Struthio camelus: one gene and its partners. The protein of the gene in region 1 purifies or fractionates together with the protein of each later gene. This does not show direct contact. Links are inferred from orthologs where the notes say so. Each region holds a gene or a part of one and is shown in the gene's direction. Other genes may lie near its edges.

The links.
Region 2: the proteins of NUP133 (region 1) and AHCTF1 purify together in Homo sapiens (affinity purification with western blotting; 3 studies listed by BioGRID, with this or other methods). This does not show direct contact. The link is inferred for Struthio camelus from reciprocal best matches to the Homo sapiens genes NUP133 and AHCTF1.
Region 3: the proteins of NUP133 (region 1) and SEH1L purify together in Homo sapiens (affinity purification with mass spectrometry; 4 studies listed by BioGRID and IntAct, with this or other methods). This does not show direct contact. The link is inferred for Struthio camelus from reciprocal best matches to the Homo sapiens genes NUP133 and SEH1L.

Annotation. Positions count from the first base shown.
Region 1 is NC_090944.1:91,500,655-91,508,546, reverse strand, and holds the start of NUP133 (nuclear pore complex protein Nup133), read left to right. Parts: upstream 1-4,847; 5' UTR 4,848-4,933; coding exon 4,934-5,118; intron 5,119-7,892. UniProt on the Homo sapiens protein: Involved in poly(A)+ RNA transport. Involved in nephrogenesis.
Region 2 is NC_090944.1:100,274,352-100,281,925, reverse strand, and holds the start of AHCTF1 (protein ELYS), read left to right. Parts: upstream 1-4,514; 5' UTR 4,515-4,765; intron 4,766-4,801; exon of another isoform or gene 4,802-4,939; intron 4,940-7,574. UniProt on the Homo sapiens protein: Required for the assembly of a functional nuclear pore complex (NPC) on the surface of chromosomes as nuclei form at the end of mitosis. May initiate NPC assembly by binding to chromatin and recruiting the Nup107-160 subcomplex of the NPC.
Region 3 is NC_090943.1:113,515,224-113,522,940, reverse strand, and holds the start of SEH1L (nucleoporin SEH1), read left to right. Parts: upstream 1-4,628; 5' UTR 4,629-4,699; coding exon 4,700-4,810; intron 4,811-7,084; coding exon 7,085-7,135; intron 7,136-7,717. UniProt on the Homo sapiens protein: Component of the Nup107-160 subcomplex of the nuclear pore complex (NPC). The Nup107-160 subcomplex is required for the assembly of a functional NPC.

The DNA of each region.
Region 1 (7,892 bases):
TTACATATGTACAACGTATGCGATATGGCCTTTGTGTGCACATGGTATGCTGTCTACCTCCACAGCAGTGCAAGTCAGCCTTCTGCATCGTTGCATGGGGAACTGTGGGAGCCCCATTAGTTGAGCTTCACGGGGAAATTTGATCCTTTTGCCAGAGTATTAAAGAGACAGTATCTCGAAGGAGAGAAATTACTGTATTCTGTTTTGTTACAAGAGTTTAATGGCCGCCTGTTCAAGGCTGAAGCTGTTGGTGCCTATCTGACAATCCTGATAGGCATACTTTGCTCAGGGCCGCTTTATTTCACGCTTCTGCCTTGTGCAGTGTGGTCCATAAGGGGAAAAGGAGCCACACAACGTATAAAAGTCTTAACTAATTGAGTTAATACCTGGGACTGGTATACCAAAAAGCACTATAAAACAAACTTTATTATACTCCCTAACTGTATTTTCCAGTGTTGACTTCTTCAGTTTTTAGTAACACTGCGTGTCATAGATGAAGACTTAGATGCAAAACATTTGTTACTTTGTGCTATACTTGTACTGTTAATAAGAGGTTTGACCTTCCAAAAATAGTTTCCTCTCCTGAAAGTTGAAATTTCGAACCCAACAGCTATGCTGTGTATACAGTGTTACTTAGTCTGAAGTTCTGTTAAAAAGCCTGAAAGAACATACTGTTATAAAATGTTACACAACAGGAAAACGCCCTTGATAGTAGTTCACCTGAAACAAGTAACGCGAAACTAAATTGCCCAAGCTTCAAATTCTCCATCAAAAGCCAGATCCTGAGAGGCAAGGCTCTTTGGAACAGAGTTCAGTGCTCTATCAGGATTTGGCAGAAAACAAAAGCTATGGAGAAAACTAGTTGGAGAGTTCTTTAACTTTAAACTGTTATTCCTCATCTGTTCTTAAAAAGAACTTCTCCAGTTATCTAAATGTCAACAGCTGCTTACTAGTCTAGTGCATGGATAGGAGATTATTTTGCCAGACACTTTAACTTCTGAACTCGCTTGAAAAGCTCTTCTAATGGGGCTGTAATTGCAACACTGAAATCTGCTGACACAGTTAGCACATAGTGAAATATCGCCAGCTGCGGTATGATTTGGCAGGATACTCTAAACACTCTTCACTCTGATGTACACAGTCCATTTTAGTACTAATATTTTAAAATGGGTATCCTAACAAGTACCAAGTAGATAAGACATTTGGTGAAAAATGGTAGAGTTTCTCTGTGATGTATAAAGAAGACTTGAAAAGGGCATAGGTCAGCTTTAAAAAAAATTCTTGAAACTGATGATGTAGTGGTCACTGCTTGAACTCAAAATCTTGTCTCTGCTTTGCTCTTTGCTGTTTTCTTTTGATGGAGCTACTGTAAGTAGGAACAGGCTCAGTTCCATGAAGGATAGTGTCAGCAGGCTCAAAACACAGCTGTGTTACTCCTACTGTATTCCAGAGGCCAAAAGGTGCAGAAAATGCTTTCAGTCACAAGTGAATGCAATTTACTAAGTCAGATTAAGTTTATCCCACATTTCCTGAAAGAAAGACCAGACCTTCTTCCCAAATGGTAGTTTAGTGTCCTTTTAGCCCTAGTGTGCAACACATAATATAAAACCATCTCTCTTTTGTACCATGTGCACTGCTGTTCTAACTTGGGCTAAACGCATCTTCTCTGTATAGATAAGTAGAAAAGATGATTTCCCGGTTGTTTAAAAATAAATGTAACTATTTTTACACATATATACATATGTGATTTTTTTTAAATGTCAGTTTCTATTGCTAGTGGCCTTATTTTAGGGGATACCTAACGTAGGCATTGTTTCAAAGTCATGTATTTATTAATGGGGCCTATTTTCATCCTTGCCTGGGGGCCAGAACTGTTTCTTTTTTTTAATTTTGCTAGCCAGTAATGATTTTCAGGGCTCAAATACTGTATCTAAGTGCTTTCAAAACAACTTTACTAAGTGGAATATACTGCTTAGGGTTGAGTACTTGCAGTCTTAGTGACAGGCCAACTCTCAATATGCACTTTATCCCTTCGCTGTGTTCCTAATTTATTTGTTTTGTAACTCCTGGGAGCATAAATGTTTTCCTGAAGGAAGTAAGACACTGAAAATAAATTGTGCCTTAAGTTATTTTATTACTTAATTTACTTATTAAACTATTTATTATTTTAATACTTAAAGACAGTACTGATCAAAGCATTGTCACTCATCATTCACTAGAAACGTGAGCATCTCTGTGAAAGTGCTAATTTATTCAAGTCAGGTTTCAAACAGTTACTGCAACTTTTTGTTTTAATTTTTTGATATAGTCTCTGTCAGTATTTTAATCTTTGAAAAGGGAGTGGATTCCATTTAGGGGAGTAATAGAAGTGAATTTCTAGAAGTGCATATCCTCTCTAAAGTCTTAAGCAATTTTGTCTTCACAGACTTTCCACTGCTCAACAATTTCAGGGGTCTTGAATTGGGGCAATTGATGCAAATTGCTTAAGAGGTCTTAAACTGATGATGCAAAGAACCAACAGAGTATTGTGCTGACCTATTAAGGAACTCTATGTTGATGTGTAAGACATTATATTTCCTAGCTTTTGAAAAAAAAATGTTACTGATCTTTCATATGCATCTTTGTGTAAACCTCTGTATCGTCCCATAAGGCACATTAAGTTAAGTTTGTTTCATACAAACCATCAATTCATGGGAATGTTGTTCGCTCTGCAGATGGTGTGGTCTGGCTGCTGCTACCCTTTCAAACTAATTTCTTTCTAAATAGATAGGTGACTGTTTGGGGCTAGCGTAGCTATGGAACATTTTCTACACTGGTTTTCAATCCATTGATCAATCAAAAATAGAAGTACAAAAGTATTAATATTCTTGTACACTTTGAAGACGTGGTCTAGTACAAGTCTCCTATTTCCATTCTTTTAGTTCAAATCCTGACTAGGTCACTATTGTCAAAATTGCCTCCGGGACATTCAGTTTTTCATGTGAAAAACAAGTACTATGCAAGTCCTTGTTCAAGGACTGGTTAAGTCTCTAGCCAGTCCTACTAGTACGGTACAATTAGCATTAGCTAGATTTCCTATTTAAAAGATTGAATTGTCCTCCTCTGTCCTGAAGATGGAGCTCTAAAACAGGTCTGGGACAGCAAAAGGAAACACAATTCACTGAGTAAATACCGAGTCAGAATTCAATCAGCAAAAAACTGCTTACGCTGTATTATCTTAAATATTTTTGAAATGAGATGTTTTGGGGAGCTATCACTTTTTAAAAGACTTTGACTCTGACTGTTGGTGGGGGTTGGGAGATCTCGATGGCAGCTTGAGTTTTACTCAGATTTTTCTCCACTTGCTTGTGTATGCATTTTCTGGTTTTATTTTTTTCTCCATGAAACACCAGTAACATGACAGTTCAGCATCACTGCATGCAGCAAAATAGAGAAGGCTATACAGAAAGATACAACGTGAATGTAACGTTATACTGAAGTTCCACTAAATGTTTGTATTTTGCCTTTCCAATAAAACCAAAACAACGGGACACCAGGTGAAATTAAAAGGCAAAGCACTGAAACATTCAGACAGAAGTTTCATTCTTCAGTACTGCCAGATGATGCATCTCAAATTTGTTTCTCTGCTCTTCGGTTTCAGTCATATTGGACCACTGTCTGTATTGCCATAAGCTGTTTTTTAATCAAAGAACGTGTTTTGGGAAAATTGTGGGGAGTTATGGACTGTTCTATTTTTGGTTAGTTTTATCTCAACTAATTACCTGCATTGACAATGACATAACTCAAATTCTTCCCCTACAGTCGATGATACATATGTACTTTCTGGAAACTGTGTTTTTCATACAAAAAATGAAGTTGAATGTTTAACTTCAGTGAGAAAATTTAACTCCCATTTAACAGAATAAATTCTGTAATAGTAAATATTTTCTGTAGTGCATGATTGTTAGTTACCATAGAAGTGAAACATACTAAAATTTTCATGCGCTATGTTTTCTTTGGGGGAAATTACAATTTTATTTTTTTTTAAATTTGAACTTTGGAATAAGCACAGGTTACAGCACAGGGTATTTTCAACATCAGGCAACCGTATTGCTGGGAAACACGTCCTTCCAAAAGTGCAAAAGAGCAGTTTGAAATGGTCTTTCAATAGTTACCTTTCAATGTTACCTTTCTTTTTCTATTAGCGAGTTGATCGGTAGCAGATATGCTTTCCTTGGGTTCCAAATCAAGTCTTTTGAATGCCACTGGGAGCAGCCTGAAGGACTGAACGCATCCAGCCTTCTTCGGCAGGATCCAGGACCTGCATTTTTCCGTATGAACATCTGGCACAGCTGACTGCCTACACTGCTGGAGGAGAAAAGTGACCGTTCCAATTCTTGTGCTCTGAAAGAGAGCAGGATCGGATAATCGTTCTCTGAAGCTCACCGCCATTTTAACTGGCCCGAAGCTGTGCAACTCTGCTCTCCCCCGATTAAACTATTACTTTTGGAGGCGCCGAAGAAGGACTGATGTGGGTTAAGACAGAAATTGGATGCGTTAACACTTGCGCATTTTAAGAATTTCAGCGCACTTGTGGGGACAGTTTCCTTCTTCTGGGTCGTACTCGGCAGAGCGAAGCGGCCGCCGCCAACGGCCGCCGCCAACGGCCGCCGCCAACGGCCGCCGCCAACGGCCGCCGCCAACGGCCGCCGCCAACGGCCGCCGCCAACGGCCGCCGCCAACGGCCGCCGCCAACGGCCGCCGCCAGAGGGCCCGCCCCGCACCCGGCCGGCGCGGGGTCTCCGCCGCTGGCCCGCACGGACCAGCCTGCCGCGCGCCCTGCTCCTCCCCTCTGCTTCCCGCGACGGGCGCGTTCGACAGTGACGCAGAAAGCCGGCGCCCAGCCCGAGCCCATCTGCCGCACGGCCGGCGCCGCTCGCCTCTGTCCCCGGCCATGTTCCCTTCGGCTCCCGCCTCGCCGCGGACCCCCGGCGGGTCGGCCCGCAGGAACCTCGGCAGCGCCGCCGCCAGCCCCCTCTCCCGGCCGGGCGGCAGGAGGAACCTGGCCGTAGTGGCGGCAGGCAGCTCCCCGGGGCTGTTTTCCCCGGTGGGGCGGAGGAGCGGCTCCCTCTCTGCTCGGTGAGTTCCCTGCCTCTCGCCACGCCGCCAGCGGCCCCGGGGGGAGGGCGAGGGCGAGGGCGGAGCGCAGCGCGGCCCTGCTCTTGCCGCCGCGCCGTTACCCGCGGGCCGTTGGGCTGCCGCGGCCCCGCCCCCTCCAGGCGCGCGCGGGGCGGGGCGGGGCGGGGCGGGGCGGGGCTCGGCGCGCTGCCGCCGCCTCGGGTGGCGCCGCTTGACCCGAGCGGTCGCCCCCCTCTCCCTCCCCCTGCTTCTTCTCCTTTTTCCCTTTCAGGGATGTTTTTTGGAATAAATCCCGAGTTCTCTGTTGCTGGGGTTCCTTAAGTAGGTAGGAAGATAGGGCACTGCAGTTCGCGGTTTGCGGGGGCTGCTGGTGGGGCAGCCAGCTCCCGTCCCGCTGAGGAGAGCGTGAGTGAGGCTGGCACCTCCAGCTGCGTGGGTGTGCGGGCCATGCTGGCCCCGCCTGACCTGCCCGTGACCCTTGGGCCCGCTGCTGCGAGGAATCTGCTCTCCTTCCCTTCTCTCCCTCTCTCCGTCGCTTTCTGGTGTTCTTTCCGCTCCCTCTTCCACAATGACCAAAAGCGTTGGTACGTTTTGCTGCGTGGATGCAAAAGACGTGGGCTGCAGTTTGTGTCACCTGCCTTCTTGTTCAGGATTGACTTGCTACTTGCTCATTGTTTAGGGAAAGATTCTGGTTTTTTGTGTTTTGTTTTGTTTTCTTTGGTCTTTTAGAGTTACGTTACTATTCCTTTACTATTCCTGGGGATCTGAACAGACTAGTCTCCCTCTTTGCAGAAGTAAAACAGTACTTGTGGAGAGAGGTAATAGGAAATTGGCCTAGTGATACAATATAAAAAGTAGCATAGTTTGAAAAAATGACAAGTAGTTGGGCTGCAAGTCTCCTCCTTAAGTCTGACAAACAGAGCCAAAACTGATGTGCAGAAACAGACGCGTTTATTTCAAATAGCATTTTCTCCCAGGTAATCTTCTGGCATCTACAAAACAAAATGTCGCCTAAGCAAATAAAGGCTTAGACAAGCCATTGGGACCTATTGAATGGAAAGGGGAAAACAGTGTCCTCAGTACATCTCTTAGATCCAATTAGAAGCGTGCCTTAACAAAAGGATTCTGCCTGAAAGCTCTTGCTTTTTCCTGTCCCTATTGAAAGTTGAAATAAAAGATTTCCTATCTCTGCTACCCTTGCCTCATTGGTACATGCTTGATCTGTCATAGATACAGTGCTGCTTTTGCCTGAGTCTAATTTTACTGTTTGTTTTCTGTTGGGATGCATTGCAAGATATTCTGCATCTCTAATCATCCTTAAATCTCTCTTTGGTAGTTTTTCTGCAATATCTTTTTGAGATATGTGCATGCCAGGTCACCCTAGTGTTCAAGAAGTGGGCATGCTGTGTATTTATATAGTCTAATAATGATATTTTCTGTTCTGCTTTTTATTTTGTGTTTAATAATTCAGATACCGTATTTGCCATTTAACTATCCTAAATAATATAGTACAGTCAAGAAAGTTTGTCACTGTGGTAGTTGGTTCCTTTTATGACTATGCTGAACAGTTTAGGTATCAGTACAGACCCTATAGAATGGGACCTTTCCTTCTCCTACTGAAAACTTTCCTGCATTGTATAATCCAGCCTGTCTTTTTCTATATTCTTTTTGTTAATTGCTGTCTGTTAGACAAAGTTTGATCTACAGTAAGATTCTCCTCGTCTGCCAGCTTGCTTTCTTCAAGAACCTTTGACACAGGATCTTTTTGAAAGCTTATTAAGGATTTAAATCCTTAGTATTGTCCAGTTCATACTCACTGATCCCGTTCCCTGCCCCCCTCCCCCCCCCCAATATTCTGTCAGGCATGATTTTGCTGTACAAAAGGAAAAAAAAATCTCGCTTGTTACTAATCTATTTGTTTACTGATTTTGCTAATTTACTCTACTACAAGAGTTGACTTTACTAGTCTCTAGTTTCTCAGATGCTCTTAGAACCTTTGTAGGATATTTGACACGTTCTGTTCTTATGGTACCAAATTCTGACTGAAAAATTTTATCCTTCACAGTTTTCTGGTTCTTTTATAGTTCTCAGGTAAAATACCACATGTTCAGTATATTCTAAATATTTCTTATTAACATTTTAGTTTGACGGCTCCTCAAATGTTTCTCTGGTACAGGAAGAATGTGAAAAAATAAGCCCCTCTGAATTTAAAAAATAAATCATTCCAAGTTTAGGCTTTTCTGTGTCTTGTTCCGCATGAATCAGAACTGAGAGTTAAAATAAGCCCCAAATCAATTTCAGGGCTTCAGAATCGCTTTTCTCAAAAAGCGGCTATTTGTTGTTGAGATGAGCAAGACTGTGCCCATTTTCAGTTCTGGGGACCTTTTACTTTAGGCACTTTTAGAACCAGTCAGCCTTGTGTTCTAGCTTTGTATAGTCTTTTGATATTTCCCTTTGGAAGAATTATGCTACATTATTATTTCTGCTGGGGGAGGGGAAAGAAGACAGTATGTTCTAAAAGCGGAGAAATCTTACCGCCTAATCATGCTTGAAGGACAAGATGGACCTATGCCGTTCCGCAGAGAGAAGGTGGGGGAAGATGCAAAGCAGCTCTTTATAATTATATTGAGGAAGAAATAATGGCTAAAATAGATAGAAAGCTGCAGTCACCAGTAAGAGAAGGGCACTAGAAGTGTTTGCTGGTCAGAGCTGTCAAGGATGTTTAAATTGTTGCACAGTGTCTACTGCTTACTGGTGTCAGAATTTGGGGTGAA
Region 2 (7,574 bases), about 8.8 Mb from region 1:
ACCTGCTTGTCGTCAGCTACAGCTCTCCCTCGACGTTTTCCTTCACTAGTCAGCCACCGTCCACAAGTCAACTGTGCTTCGCTTCCTGAGACATTATTCTTTGTCTTTCACAACTCTGTTGTCCCGTTTCCCTTTATGCGCTCATTCAGCAAGTCTGTTGGAGGATCCTCTTTATCTTCCATGCCAGACTTCGCTGGGGGTTGCATAAAGCCCTCTCCTTGTCCTTCTTCTCTTCTTCTATGCCTTATCACTGGGTAATCTCCACTGCAAACATAAATTCACCTTCTGGACAACTTTAAGATCCAGTGCTCTATTCAGATCAGTCTCTTAAGGTGGGATTGATCTGACCAGAAGTGAAAGGGTACAGCGTAGGTGTCTCCATCTGAACCAGTTGTCTAGATTCCCTTTACAGCCAAGTGACCCTCACCTTATTCTATAGCAGGTACCTAAAAGAGGCCAGATGAAGAGCCGCCAGGAAGAGCCTGTTTCTCTCCGCTGCTACAAAGGGAGCCCCTCCGACTAGCTCTGATGCAAATGTCTGCACTGCAGATATTTAAAACTGGCAAGATGAATCCTCGACCTTTCTTCCAAATGCAGGCTTCACTGCTTCTCTGCTGTCTCTTCAGGAAAGCCTTTCTATCAGTTCAAGCTAAGCTTGGCTGAAACAAGACCACTTCATTATGGTGCTCCTTCTCTGCTCAGTCACTGTTTAGACCAGCAGCCATGCATGCCTACAACTTGGCTGTGTCTTTGGTCCACACTTTTCCCTGCATCCTTATTCAGGCCAGGTCTAAGCCTTGTTCTCTCTAAAATCTCTGACATGAGGCCTTCCTGTCTCCATCCATACAGCTAAAACTGCCGTCCAAGCTGTAATCACTTTGAATTGTGATTACTACAAAAGTGCATTGCCTGTCCTTAATATATACCGTTTTGTCCTGTACATAATCACCCTAAATGCGTCCGCAAATAATATTTCTCTAGCTGGTCCTCTGACGTTGCCATGCCTATCTTTGTATTTCTCCCCTAGCTCTTTACTCTCTGTTACATCAAATGTGAGCTATTTGTCTTCACTTTCTAGGCCTTTCATAGCCCTTCCTGGCTCTGCCTGTCTCATGCTTGGCCTCTCAGGCATAACAGAGAGTCAGTCCTGCCATCACTGATCAGCCTGTGGTATCACCCACTTCGGTATGTTTTCAAACACAGCCCTACATGCTTCATGTTGGCCAGGATGTTTGGGAGGAGCTGTCGGTACACATCTGCAACACCAACTCATCTTCAAAATTCTCCTTTCCCTTACTGCCTGCAAAAAGCTTGACAAGAGTTAGGCTTCCTAGCCAGTCTTTGTGCTGACAAATACTGTCTCACTGATTCATTCCCAGCTGACTGTAGGCACACCTCATCTCCCACGATACACCAGGAGCTGGACTGTCCCATGATAGTTCACTGCATGACGGAGAGGGGTCCTTGTCCATGATCTGTGCTCCTATGTGCTACAAATTCATATATCTAAAATGGCAACAGAAACCACCAAGTCACAATCAGCATTTCCACAACTATATAAAAAATAGTGTTCTTAACCTTAAGACGCGCAGCTATAATTTAGAGATAATATATGCTGCTAGCAGTTGTAGGAAGCCGGGAAGACTTGAGTCAATTTGTCATTCTTTCAATGCTCCTGGCACAAACGGCGGCCCTAAAGAGGTGAGAGGGGGCTCAGCTGATGTACAGAATGGAGAGAGACTTCTTGGTAGCCCTGCAGATCTCTTTATTAATATCTGAAATTTTAAACTTTAAAGTAAAAGAGTGTTTTGACCATATTGGAACACCTATACTCCAAAGGAATAGCATTAGACTTGCACTTTTCACTTCATATTTATTTTCTGCCTTTGCAGTGGCTAACAGTGCCACCTTAATTTTATGTTGACTGTGCTGATTTTTAACATATGTTTTCTTATTAAAAATAAGAGTAAAAGTGCAGCAAAATAACCTATAGCTTTAAAATCCAGAGGGACTGAGGAGGAAGGCAGCAGGCACTTATCAGGCCACTTTTGGAAAGTGGCAGGTATTTCCTCTCCTGGGGAAAAGGAGGTGAGGAAAGAGGTGGCTGTTTACTAGTTATCTTCTAATCATCTACTTTAGATGGTTTGATTAGACTGTATTCTACAGTGGAAATGTTTCACACTGAGGTTTTTTTTCCCTGACTTTTGTGTTGAATAAAAGTGTGTCCTTAAAGAAACTCTGAGCGTAGCCCTTGCTGGGATGGGAAACAGATTAGTACTTGCTTACAAAAGGTTATTGTTTAGAAAGATTATACCGAAATTTCAGGTGGGATTATTTAGTGTGTGTGTTAGTGACCTGGTTGTTTTCTTCAGTAAGTCTTTCTGAGCATGTTTTACTGTGCTGTGAGTTTAAAAATTCATTTCAAAGTTTTGCTGCCCTTGCTCCAACATCAATTAAACATATTAGAGAGTGGTGCTGGAAGAGGTCTGCCAGACAAAGCTGACATATTTTGATTTCCGATTTCCGATCTTGTTTGTAGGGTGTTCTAGGACATACGGGTGGGACTATAAGAGAAAAGGTAGGTATTAAACTGCCTGAGTGATGCTTAATAGCTCTGGTATTTTCTGAACAAATTGTACATTATAATGAAAATAATCTTGACTGCAATGTGCAATGAATCTCTTTGTGCTGGATACTAGGTGGGTTGCAGAAAACGTAGCGAGAAAGTAGAAAAACTTGTCCAAGTGCCAGGGATCAGAATTTTATCCTGTTGTTTTTAAAGCTGAAAAGAGAAGACTTTGTGCTTCGTTTACACTGTAGGGTGAAAATAAATGATGCTGCAAGCACCACTGTAAGTTGAGTAAGCTTTACTTAAATTGCAACAACAGCAAAACACTTGAACAGAAGAAATTAGGTGGCTGTTGTTTAAGTGTGTTACTGATTGTACTATGCTCTGCTGAAGCTGGGAGGGCTAATGGATTTCTTTTACTTGGGATGAATATAAAAGCAATTGAGCCTTTTTGGTAGCTGAAATAAAAGGATTACCAAATAGGCATATGCAGACTGATTAACTGTGTTCTGGATGTTGATGGGGATTTGAAAACATGAAAAAGAGAACAAATAGCCTTGTGCCTGGCTACCCAGAGAAAAATGGGGGTCCTGGGTGCAACTGCTGGTTGGAAAAGGGGTTGGAACTCTCTTCCTAATTCTTGTTCAGTACAAGAAAGTGGGACTCTGCTCCTTCTTCGAACATAAGCAGTACTGCCCAAGAGATACCTCACTGCTATCAGCTTCTCATCCTGAATGACACAACATCTGGAACATCAAAAAGCACAAACTAGAATCGGAAGAATAGTAATGGAAATGCAAGGTGCAAAGACACTTCCTTCTCCTAATGTTGGTGACATTCTACCTCCAGGTGGCAAAAATTAAAAGGGTAAGTATCTTGCCAAGATGCTGGTGATGTTGCAAAGGAAATGGGAAAGTCCTAACTTATTTGGCAAATCGACCCAAGGAATTATTCTCAAAATGGCTGCAAAGAAGAGTTTTGTATAGCTAAGTGCCTCTTGCTTTCCTCATTTCAATGGTGAATACGTCATGGCTTTCATTTGTAAAGAGATGCTTATTTATGCTGGCATATAGATATGTTTTCAGCCTAAAAATTGTATTTAAAATTTAGAGCTAATCCACTCCTTAAACGTATTTTTAATTTGCCAGTATTATTTCATTAAATGCTAGTTATGCTTCTGCTTCCTTGCTGTTCAGGCTTTTGCAGTCAAGTAGAAACAATTAACTGGGCAACAGACCTGCGCAATGAACTAGAAACTTCATCGCAATCAGGCAGTTCTGGAAACCTGTTTATTTACAAAACGTACAAAGTCCTCTTCCCTCGGTCACAGCAGGAATCAAATGGAAACACCATCTTTGTTTACGGGGGTTTAGATCAAAAAGCTCTCTAGCAGTACTTTTCTGAGGTGCGCGTGCTTGTCTAGGTCTGACGCTTAATTTCTGTTTGCCTTCCGCCTTTTCCAGGCTACTTCTACAGCTGAAGATATTTTATTGGCACGTAACGTATTTCACAGGCAAAATACTCCTGGCATAAACCCGTCCAAGCCCAAGCTTGGATTTTAACACAGAACCACCACCTTTACAGGCCCCTAACACCCCGGGACCAGGCTTAGCAGTTGCACTGAAACACAGCTGCACCCGGCGTCGCGTTGTCCCTAGCACGGGCATGGCCGCAGCTGTCGCAGACAGAGCTGCGCTGGCCGAAGTCGGCCTGCAAACTGCTACCGAGGAGCCAGACGTCTGCCGCGCCGAGGCTGGAGCAGCCCCTGCCGCGCAGCTGTCCGGTGACCGGTGCTACCAAGCGACGGCGACCTCCCCCCCTCCCCCCGCGGCCACCCGCTCGGCGAGGGCAGCAGAGAAAATGGCGCCTTCGCCCTGCTCGTGACGCCGGCCGCTGGAGTCCTTCAGCGACTACATTTCCCAGCGTGCCCCGCGGCAGGCCCGCCGGCGGCGGCGGCAGGAAGCCGGTGCGGCGGAGCGGAAGCGGCGGCGGCAGGGCATGCTGGGAAGCGTAGTTCGGTGGAGGCCGCGGCCGCGGCCGCGGCCGCAGCCCCTCCCCGGCAGGCGGCCACCGCCCGCGGCCAAGCCCCGCGAATTTGAAAATTCCCGCGGTGGCCGCGGCCGCTCTCGCGAGATCTCCGCCCCCCCCCCCAACACCGTTCCGCCCCGCCCCCCGCGCGGCGGGTGAGCGAGCGAGGTAGGTGCCGCGCGCGGGGGGAGGGGAGGGAGCGGCGCGGCGCGGAGCGGGGCGCGGCGCGGCTGCGCAGGCACCGAGAGCGGCGCGGCGTAGGGCGGCGCGGTACCGCCGGGCAGAGGCCCGGGCAGGCGGAGGCCGCTCTAACCGCTGCGGGAGATGCCGCCGCTTTCACCGGCACGTACCGGGGGAAAAATGGGGGAGGTGGTGGGGGAGGTGGGCGGGAGCGGCGCAGGCAGAAGGCGGCGGTGGCCGGTGGCGACGCTCGCCCCCCCCCCCACTCCCCCGCCCTGCGGCCAACAGCAGGTACCGGGCGCTCCCGAGGCGGCTAGGCCAGTAGCGGCGCCGCTGGCGCAGCGCGGGCCCGGCGGGGGCTGTCGGCGGGCTCGGCCGCGGCCGCCCGGCCCCTTACGTAAGTGACCCCCTGGGCCGCGGCCGCCGCACGTGGCCTGGCCGCGGCGAGGGCCGGGGCGGGGGGTCGGGTCGGGCCGGGTTGGGCCGGGGCGGGCGGCGGCGCGGCCTGGGCAGAGCACATGGGAGGCGGCGGCGGTGTGCGAGGCTCCGCCGGCGGGAGACGGCAGTCAGGGGCTGGGGGGGGGGCGTGGGAGATGTGGCGACCGTCGCCGCGAGCTTTCCCTCCCTGCCGGCCGGCCTCCTGCCCGGTCACCCGCACATCCCCGCGCCTCTCCGCCCTTCGGGCGATTTTTTGGATTTTTTTTCCCCCCCCTTCCCCCTTTTGGTCTGGTTTTCCAGCAGAAGGCGGGATGTTTAGCTTTCTGCATAGAGCGGGAGTCGCAGGAAGAGAACTGGGTTTAATGGGCCGAGCACAGTTTTACAGATGCCGAGTGTGTTTCGTGCGTCTCCTGAGCCCTGCTGAGGGTGTGAGGGACCTGCCTTTCCCTCTTGCTTTGCCAGCCCAACTTTTTGTTATGTGTTGCTGAGGGTTTCTACGACTCTTAATTTTTGTATGAAGCATGCATCATGCCATAGAGTTGCTGACTTAAACAAAAGTGCTTGAATTCTTCCGTAGTAAACCGTGACTCCAGGTCTGGAGCTTTTACCAATAGAAAGAAATGTAGTGTCAATCTTTCAGGTCTGCTAATTACTGCCTGATAACGTTTGGTAAAATTATGCAAAATCAGAGGACGTAGTTGTGTCAGGAACACTGAATCCCGTTTAGGGTGTCTGGTGAAATAGGGTATTTCAAGTGATTTTTTCCTTAGACTCATCAGTCTAGATCATTATATCAGTCTTGACTGGTAGCTCTCATAAGCGTATGGGCATGCAGTACTGTATCCTGTTCTGCTGAGGACAGCTCCTCATTCACTTATTACATCAGCTCATTTTGCTGCATTTGTTTTCCTTGGGATTGCTTTTCTAACACAGTGAAATGAACTTCATCAGGCTTCTGTTAGTTTCAGGTCTTCTACCTAGTAACCTGTCAGATAGGGTTCTAGAGAAGTAATAGTGACAGACCTGTGGTGATGTGTCACTTGTGTGGTGGACAGAATGCTTAAACTGCATTAGTAGGAGAGAGGAACTAAAAGCCTTGGCCTATTGTATATGTTGGAAATGTTTTTGTAGTTTACCTTGTCAGATTGCTTCTTGTAGAAGTATGTTTCAGAATCCTGTGCTGGGAAGGCCATGTGGTAGGATGCTGTACCATGATGTTACGCTGGCGATGCCCTGTTAACTACTACCTAGTGATATCAGCGAGGCTGGATTTGGTGGCGAGAAAGCTAACAGCTGCATTTGTCTACCCTAAGCATACCAAGTCATACAAAAAAGAGTATTTTAGCACAGACTTAAGGAGCTTCTGCTAGCTTAGCCATATTAGACGGGGGTTTCAGCTCTTGAATAAATGCATAGTCATATTAGAAAATAATTGTGGGAACTAGTTGGGTAGACTTGGATCTAGTGTCAAATTCTGTTTGTTTTTGTTTGTTCTTGTATTTAAAGGGAAATCAAGTCTTATGGTCTGCATCAGATACAGGTTCTTAGCTGTTGATGGCTTGGTGGTTGATGGGATAGAGACCTGAAATTCTTTTTTCTTTCTTACCTTCTGCTGTAGGTTTGTGCTTCCTGGAGAGCTTGCGAAACATCTGAATAAATTCTGCAAGGCAATCTGTAGGCTGCATTTCAGTGAAATAAGTCTGATTCTTGCATTCTGATAGAGCTCATTTCTGTTATGATAATGACTTTGGGGGGGACTAAAATTTGTTATTTGGATTAAATACCTGGGATTTTGCCTAAAACATCAGATTTTCTCTCTCCCCCCTCTCCCCCCTCTCCCCCCTCTCCCCCCTCTCCCCCCTCTCCCCCCTCTCCCCCCTCTCCCCCCTCTCCCCCCTCTCCCCCCTCTCCCCCCTCTCCCCCCTCTCCCCCCTCTCCCCCCTCTCCCCCCTCTCCCCCCTCTCCCCCCTCTCCCCCCTCTCCCCCCTCTCCCCCCTCTCCCCCCTCTCCCCCCTCAAGTGGGGAAAAAATAATCAAGTGCTACTCACTAAATCACCTGCTTGTTTTAGTCTTTCTACTGGAGTAAAACATGGCAAAATTCTAATTCACTGAACCTGACTACTAAAGTGCAGGAAGTGTCTTATCATTCTACTGCTCCTCCTATGTTTGTGAGTTGTTTCCTATTTTTCTGAAGAAAATGTCATGGAACCAGTTGTTACCAGTAATTCAAAGAATTCCATAATTTTCATTGATACCTGTTATCTAACAAAGTAGGTGCTGTTTTTCTCAAAAGAATTTACTGTTTTTCTTTCATTTCTTTTGTTTTTTCCCCACTCTGTCCTATTTCCTTGGAAAATGT
Region 3 (7,717 bases), on another chromosome or scaffold:
GTCCTTCTGGGGAGGTCCAGACAGATTTAATCTTATTCCACAGAATTTATTTTATTTCCTCTTAATCCAAGAGATGGTCTGGCCATTTTTTAAAATTCAAATAAGCAGTTTCATTTGCCAGAAGATATGAATGCTTCTTTGTTAGAACAGATGTCATTTACTACAGTGATTGTCTATTTAATGACTGCTTGCCTTAACAAGGGGTATAACTTGCCCCTTCATCCCTTTGGTAATTTTGATGCTTCAGCATAAAGTGTTTCCTCTATTGAACATTAATTCTATGATGTCAATTGGTTTGCTCACAAAAACGCTCGATACAAATATCTGCATGGGATAAATATGTTTATCTTATGACTGGATATTGACTGCACTCAGACACAAAGGTAAATGAAGGCACTGGGATGACAATCTATCTCCCACATATTCCCTGGACTTTTCTGTCTTTAAGTAAATGAAGATTTTGGGCCCAGTTCCTTAATGGCTGCAAACTGACCTACTTGCATGGACTCTAGAGACTGAGGACAGGGCTAAGTTGTCTTTAAATAAATAAATAAATGTGTATATAAGTAAAAATAGCCTGGAAGAACGGTAGACTTTTTTAGCTTATTGACTAAACTAAAATGTAAGACAAAAAGTTTAGTCTTGATTTGAAATGTACAATTTTTGTTGTCTTGTCAAAAAAACCCCCCACAAACCTCTTAGGTCAAACAAAAATGTGCATTTGTGCCATATTTAAATATTTAGGTATTTTTAAACATAAATAGGCAAGTTTTGAAATGAAAATTTATTTAGCTATTTTAAAAAGGAGATGTTAATTTTTTCCTAGTTCTTTTTCAAATGTAACACATTGATGACAATTGTTTTGTGAATCAGACCAGTTTGCCCTGCTCCAAATATACTAATATTATTGGCTGAAGAGATAAATTAAAATCTGAGCATAAGAAAATTATGAATTCATTAGTTGTAACACATTTGGAGTCTTGACAAAATAATTTTATTACTAAAAATTGCAAAAGAATGGATTTTTTGATGATGACTCTGGAAACAATTCTTATGGAAAAAAAACCACAATTCTTTATAAATATAATCAACAGTTTACAGTAAAAGGAGGACATTTCTCAAAAATAGCAAACAAAATCAGTCAGAGACAGTTCTGTGCATTAAAGAACTTCTGAATGTTTTTTTTACTACGACTGAGTCTCCAGCTGTTTGAGTGAAGCAATAACTGACGCTTCAAAGTATAAAAGTCTCTAATAATGCTAAAAGAAGAGAAAAAAATATTTCTCCTTAGCAATCCAAGTAAGTGCATGAATATTTTTCGGATATGTTTGTTTATTTTGTTCTAATATAAAAGTGTTTCTCCTACAACATGCAAAACTTAATACCGTCTCTCATTATAGCACTGGGACTATCACGAATGATCAACTTTGCTTGCTTCTCCTATTGTATTGCTTTCATTTTACGTATTACTTAGAAATAACTTACTCTGTGGGATGTGTTGACCATGGCCCTACAATCCACAGTGAGGTTCTCTCTAGGGGATGAATTGTGCAATACCAGTTCATCTTTAGAAACAGGAAAATATTACTCCCTTCCTCTGATTAGCTCCTCATTTAAAAAAATGCTTTACAATTTTTCTGTAATTTGCAAATGTCAAACCAAATTCCCCACCAATATAAATAGGTACAACTTAGTTGCCTTAATTTCCTTGACAACAATTTGCAAATTTCTCTCTTCAATGTTATTTCCTGCTCTCCATTTAGATTTGGCTCTCTAGTATCTCAAAAATATTTATTTTTTAACTATCCTTACCCGGTATCATTGAAATAATTAAATCCTAACATCTTAATGCCATAGTATTCCTTCACGTTCAAATTTCTCGTCACGTACATCAGTCTGGTATCGGCCATTATCACTTCTGGGTGCCAACGTATCTAGTCTAGATATGAGGTCTACTACAATGTTAAATGCTTTTATGAAGTACATTTGCGTATGATTCAAAAAACGAGTGAAGTAGTCTCCATGGCATGTGATAGCGGCAGCTCCATTAGTTACCATGGAATATATTTTACAGTTTGCGAAAAATAAATGCACTAAATATCAAACCCTAAACTGCCAGGTTTATCTCACAATCAGATAATGGTTTCGTTATAATTTTGTTTGTTGTTTAGGCATTCCTTAACAAATTCTCTTCACTAAGTGGACTGAATTTGACTCCTTATTGCCAAGACCAAGCTACACGAAAATTTTAAATGAGGTGGAAGGAGTCAAAACTCCTTTCCAAAATGATAAAACTAATCTCTGGTTAAAGGTGCAGATACAAAAAAGGCTTTGGGAAAGGTCTGACTCGGATTTGAATCAAGAGAATTTGGTTTCAGGAAGCACCACATCATGATCCTCTTCTTTAATAGCAGTACCTATTGATCCTGTTGAAAACTGGATCCCAACTACAAGGCAATGAAGCTGTCCTAATGGCTTGAGCGCTGTTTGGGAACTGACATGAAGTAGAGTTAAGTAGAAGTGTGGTTTGCTTTCATCTATCTTCATCATCTCCTTGTTATCTATTTACTGTTGTCTCTAAACCTACTAAGTGCATTATTAGCGAATTTTAGTGAAAGAATTGTTTATTTTCTCTACATTAACATTTGTCAGCTATTACAGTCAGCTTCAGATTAACCAGGAAATAACATGGCATTCTACGCTTATGGATGAAACATTCCTTAAAAACAAGGCACTGGACCAATCTTGAGCTCAATGATGCAAAAACTGAAGGGAATTAAAGACATACTAGCGCTACTCTTCCGAAGAGCTGCGTGATTCAGTTTGGGAGCTGATACTGCAGGATGCAAACTGGAAGAAAGTGCTTCCGTTAGCAAGGGGCTGTCTGGGGAACACAGCAGGTCAGTGGTGAGAGTATTCAGCCCTGAAGAGCCTCCGGCTGGTTTGGTTAATTTGTTTCGTATGGCCCTCAGGCTTCACACTAGTCACTACTGGTTTATAGCTCATGCCCAGACCTGAGTTATTGGAAACTCTTTTCTTCCATGAAAACGTCTCTTTTCCTCCTCTTCCTTTTCTTCTGCTTCCTCCTCGTAGTCTTTCATGTGATCCAAAACCCACCTTATCTCATCTAGTGCTTCTAACCTGTCTTGAAATTCCTTCAGATGTTCCTTTTCTGCCTGTGTCAAATGCACATTGTTTGTCCTTCCTAGAAAACCTTTCAAACTTGGCCCATATTACCTCCTCTTCTCCTAGAAGTAGGTCTCATGTTCTTTTACGCCACAGTACTCTCAGGGCTGACCTGATAGTAATCATTAATAGAGTAAACCATAAAACAAAGAAGTAAATGTACTTTGATAAGTAAGTAAGTCAAAAACTGACGTGTTAAATGTTGCTTGTGCTTTTTGGATTTGCATCGCTGCAGAGAGCTCCAACGTTGGAAGTACGGAAATGTAAAAAGAGAGTAAATTATAGCCCAGCTTAACAATATCTACTAAAGAGAGGGAAATGGCAATAGCCCTGGCTAGAAGAGGGGAGAAAGCGGGAAGCAGCTGCAGCGCTGGTTAGGAGGCAGCAATATAGCTTGAGGACAGTAGTGCGAGAAAGCAGGCGGGGACTTGGGTGAGCAGCTGCGAAGGGTTCCTACGAGATGGTGAAAGCAGCAGGAGAAAGGAGGATGTGGGACAATGGTGGCAGTGACATACAAAAAGGTTCAGAATTACTGTGTCGGATTGCCGTAACCGACTTAACGTGTTTCTGAGATGGCTCCCAAAAAGGCGAAATCTATGACTTACTGCCATCTACTGGAATATAGTATTCACGTCTAATTCACGTTTTACTGATACAACTACATTTAATTGTTTTAAATATTCCTTTACCAAGATGTGAAGTAAGAAATCCTCCCCAAAGCCCATAAAAAAAGAAAAAAAGGTCTCAGATGCAACGTAGGCCTGGAGAAGGCTGTCCAAAGGCAGCAAGGTTGCTGCTTTCTGAGGTGCCAAAACGACGACCGTGATTTCCCGAGAAAGCTCAACCTTGCATCACCTAGAAAGGAACGTTAATATTATGTTTCTTACACGTCTCCTAGTCAGGACTGGTTTCATTCAGTTAGGCCTTATCTGATGCCTACTGCTTTGCTGTCCTCTGTGAGAGATTCACTACTGAGTGTCACTGCGGCTCACGTTGCGCGTGGCTCCACACTGCGACGACACGCAGTGCCCTATTTTCAAAGCACAGAGTTAGCTCCGGCCAGAGCAGCAGCCCTCAACAAAGCAACTCCAAGCTCGGGACAGCTCGTATTCCCCCGCGCCGGCACGGAGGCGCTCGCTGCCTGCTTTGTGGATGCCCACGGACGTGGGGGGCGGGGAGGGAGGGGGGGAAGACCTTCCCCCTGGAGGACGGGTCACCGCCGGGTGGCTGGGGAGGGCAGAGCGGCTCCGCGGTGCGCGGAAAAGGGGGGCGCCCCAGCGCGGCTGCCGCCCGCCCCAGCGCGGCCGCAGGGGGAGGGGAAGGGAGGGGAGGGGCGCGCGCGAAGGGCCGTTCACTCGGCGCCGGAACGCACGTTGGCCGTTGTAGGAGGGGGAGGAGCGAGCGGGCGGGCGCGGAGGGCTCTGGGGGCTGAGCGCGGGCCGGCGGCGGCCGTTGCCCCGCCCCCGGCGCGAGGAGGGCGCGCGCCTGGGCCGGGCCGGGCCGGGCCGCGGAGATGTTCGTGGCGCGCAGCATCGCGGCGGATCACCGCGACCTCATCCACGATGTCTCCTTCGACTTCCACGGGCGGCGCATGGCGACGTGCTCCAGCGACCAGAGCGTCAAAGTGAGCGGGAGCCGCCGGGCCTGGGCGGGGCGGGGAGGAAGAGGAGGCACCGTGGCGCCTGCCCGCGGAGCCCGGCACCGGCGCGGCCTGCAGGGCCCACCGCGCCGCCGGCGGGCACCGGCCGCGGCCGTGCGGAGCCGCCGGGCTCGGGGGCCGGCCGGCCGCCGCTCCGCCCTGCCCGGCGCGGCGCGGCGGGCCTCCAGGCCCGAGGGAGCCCGTCCCTCTCCCCGCTCCGCCTTGTGGCGCCGAGGCCTGGGAGCGAAGCGTCGCTCCAGCCGCCCGGGAGCCGCCGCCCCGGCGGGCGGGCGACCGGCCTTCGGCCTCCCCCGGGGACTGCGGAGGGCAAATGCTGCAGAAAGCCCCAGCTGCCGTTCTTGAGCTAAATGATTGCGCCCCCAGACTTCAACGGCAGGGACTGTAAAGCCACAATGTATTTATACATAATGCTTTTTTTAATATATATATATGCACACACACATATATACACATGCACATGTGTATATAGTATGTATATATGTAAGTATATATATACATATACATGTGCAAACGCACACACAGACACAGGAATACATAATTTTTTTCGACCCCTTGCTACAGCTGGGAAAACCACACAAGCACCTGATTCTCCTTTTTGGATTTGAAACAGGAGCAGTAGTTTTTGTAGTCTGTTGTTTTCGTGTCACGTGGGATGACGGGACTGTGTGCCCCAGTACCCAGAGAGGCTTTTCCTATCGGTATTAATTGGTCTAAATAGATATGTTCTTTTTCCTGACAGCTCTTACTTTTTTTTTTTTTTTAACATCCTTAAACCATTGTGGCTACAGCAGTGCAGTTTTATTTTGTGTCTTCTGAAAAGCTGTATTTATTTGAAGGCACTAAGGGAGGAAGCCGACGTCTCATACCGAAGCGCCGACAATCAACAACTAGCTGAAACGTTCTGTGCGTGCTCACACAGATAAAATGCTAGAAACCTTTATTTCACACTCCTTTAGAGGAACTAAAATCATGATAAATGGAAAGTTAATTGCTTTTTCCATTATATGAGTATAGGGAGAAGAGGTTACGTACTGTTAGATTTAAGGTATTCAGTTTGCAGAGGGCAATAATAGCATTTTTTTTTCTTTTTTAAGTTCTGGAAAATGGCCGATAAAACGTTAGCACTTTTCAGTAAATAGCTGTCTAATTTAGATGAGGCTTAAAAATAAGTAAACAGCCCCTCTTCCCTTCCCCGCACTTCAAAAAAAGCCCACTCAAGCATGTAAGTCAGCCTTTGATCTGGATTAAGTATATAAAACGTAAAGCTTAAAAGAGAATATACTTAAGAAAGGTGCCATAAGGTAGATGAAATTTAGGAACAATATTGTTCAGTGGTATAAAGTTACTTTCCAGTCATACCAGTATCTCTTATAAGAGAGTCTTGAGAAATTTTACTCTAACGAGAATTTTACAACACTGCTTAAATAGCAGTATATCTGTTATTTGGTGTCTGTTTTAGGTCCCCTCTGCCTTAGGTGGGCCCTGCAGAATAGGAATCGGGCAGCAATTTTTGTGGAGTTGGCCTGGTGAACTGATTATAACCAAGGTTGTATTAGAGATCCAGAATGACAAAAGTGAGACAATGTTATTTCAATACGGTTATACAGTGAATGAGTGAGAAACAAGGAGTGGCTGCCAGGTGTCTGGAGTTGTCTTTCCTTGATGAGATTCATGAGTTTCTTCATGATTTCTCTGAAAAAGTTGCAAAGACAAGATTTTTGGGAAGTTGAGAAAAATTATTGACAGGATGGTTATAATTCAGGTCAGACATAGTATGAACCAAATCTGTTAACCTACTGGGATCAGTTTCTCTTTGCTGTCCTACTCTGTCCTTTGTGATTGCCAGAAGCCACCTCGAGGTTTTGGAACTATCTGTGAGCACATGCCATGGTGAGGATCATAGGAGTGCTATGGTAAAATGGAGTAATTTTGGCATGCCCATGGAATGTAAGATCAAAGTGAAGAGATGAGAATTGTAATAATTTGTCTTCTGTAAAAAAAAATAGGAGACCTCATACTGTAGTGGGTTTTGCAGATGTGTGGCTCTTCCTCGGACCTGTATTAAGGATATTTTCAAGGTTGAGTGAAGTGTAGTAGTGTACTGGACCAGAAAGGATTTTCTGGAGGGAAATAATTTGTGGTCCTTTTTTTTTTTTTTTTTAAATGACCCTGTTTTTTTTATACAACTTGTATATAAAGTTTATTTAGTAGTATGATTGTATTTTGATTTCTCAATAGGTCTGGGACAAAAGTGAAAACGGGGATTGGCATTGCACTGCCAGCTGGAAGGTTTGTATTGATAATAATTACACAGTTAGACCGTAATTTCTCCCATGTTTTGTCAAAATGTACTTAGTTTTTGTGACTTGTAGAGTATAAATACTTCTGTTTCTTGTAGATACAGTGTTCCTTATAATAAAACAGCCTTCTCCACTTCTAAAAAACATCTGTAACACCTCTCACTTAAAGCAGAGGCTAGCGTGCAGTCTTGTACCATTAATTAATTACCTTGGCAGAATTTGTTACCAATAGACATACTGGTAGCAGGAATAAGGAAGTTGGAAAACAATATCCGCATTTTTAATTGAATGTCTCCTTTTTGCATATTCTAAAACTTTAAAAAAGGAAGAGGCTGGTCTATTAAATGTTACAACATTGGGCCTCCTCTTTATTTTTTTCATAACTTTTCTGAGAACTGTGACATACAAAGACCAGTCTCTATGCTTCATCAGGATAACTGGGGCATTGAGCTTGTCAACTGTCTGTAAACTTCTATTTAATAGGACTGCAATACAGTAAACCGTATAAAGGGAAATGCAAGTGAAGTCTTTGAGTTCTCTTTCTTTAGAGAAAGAAGCATTCAATTGACTA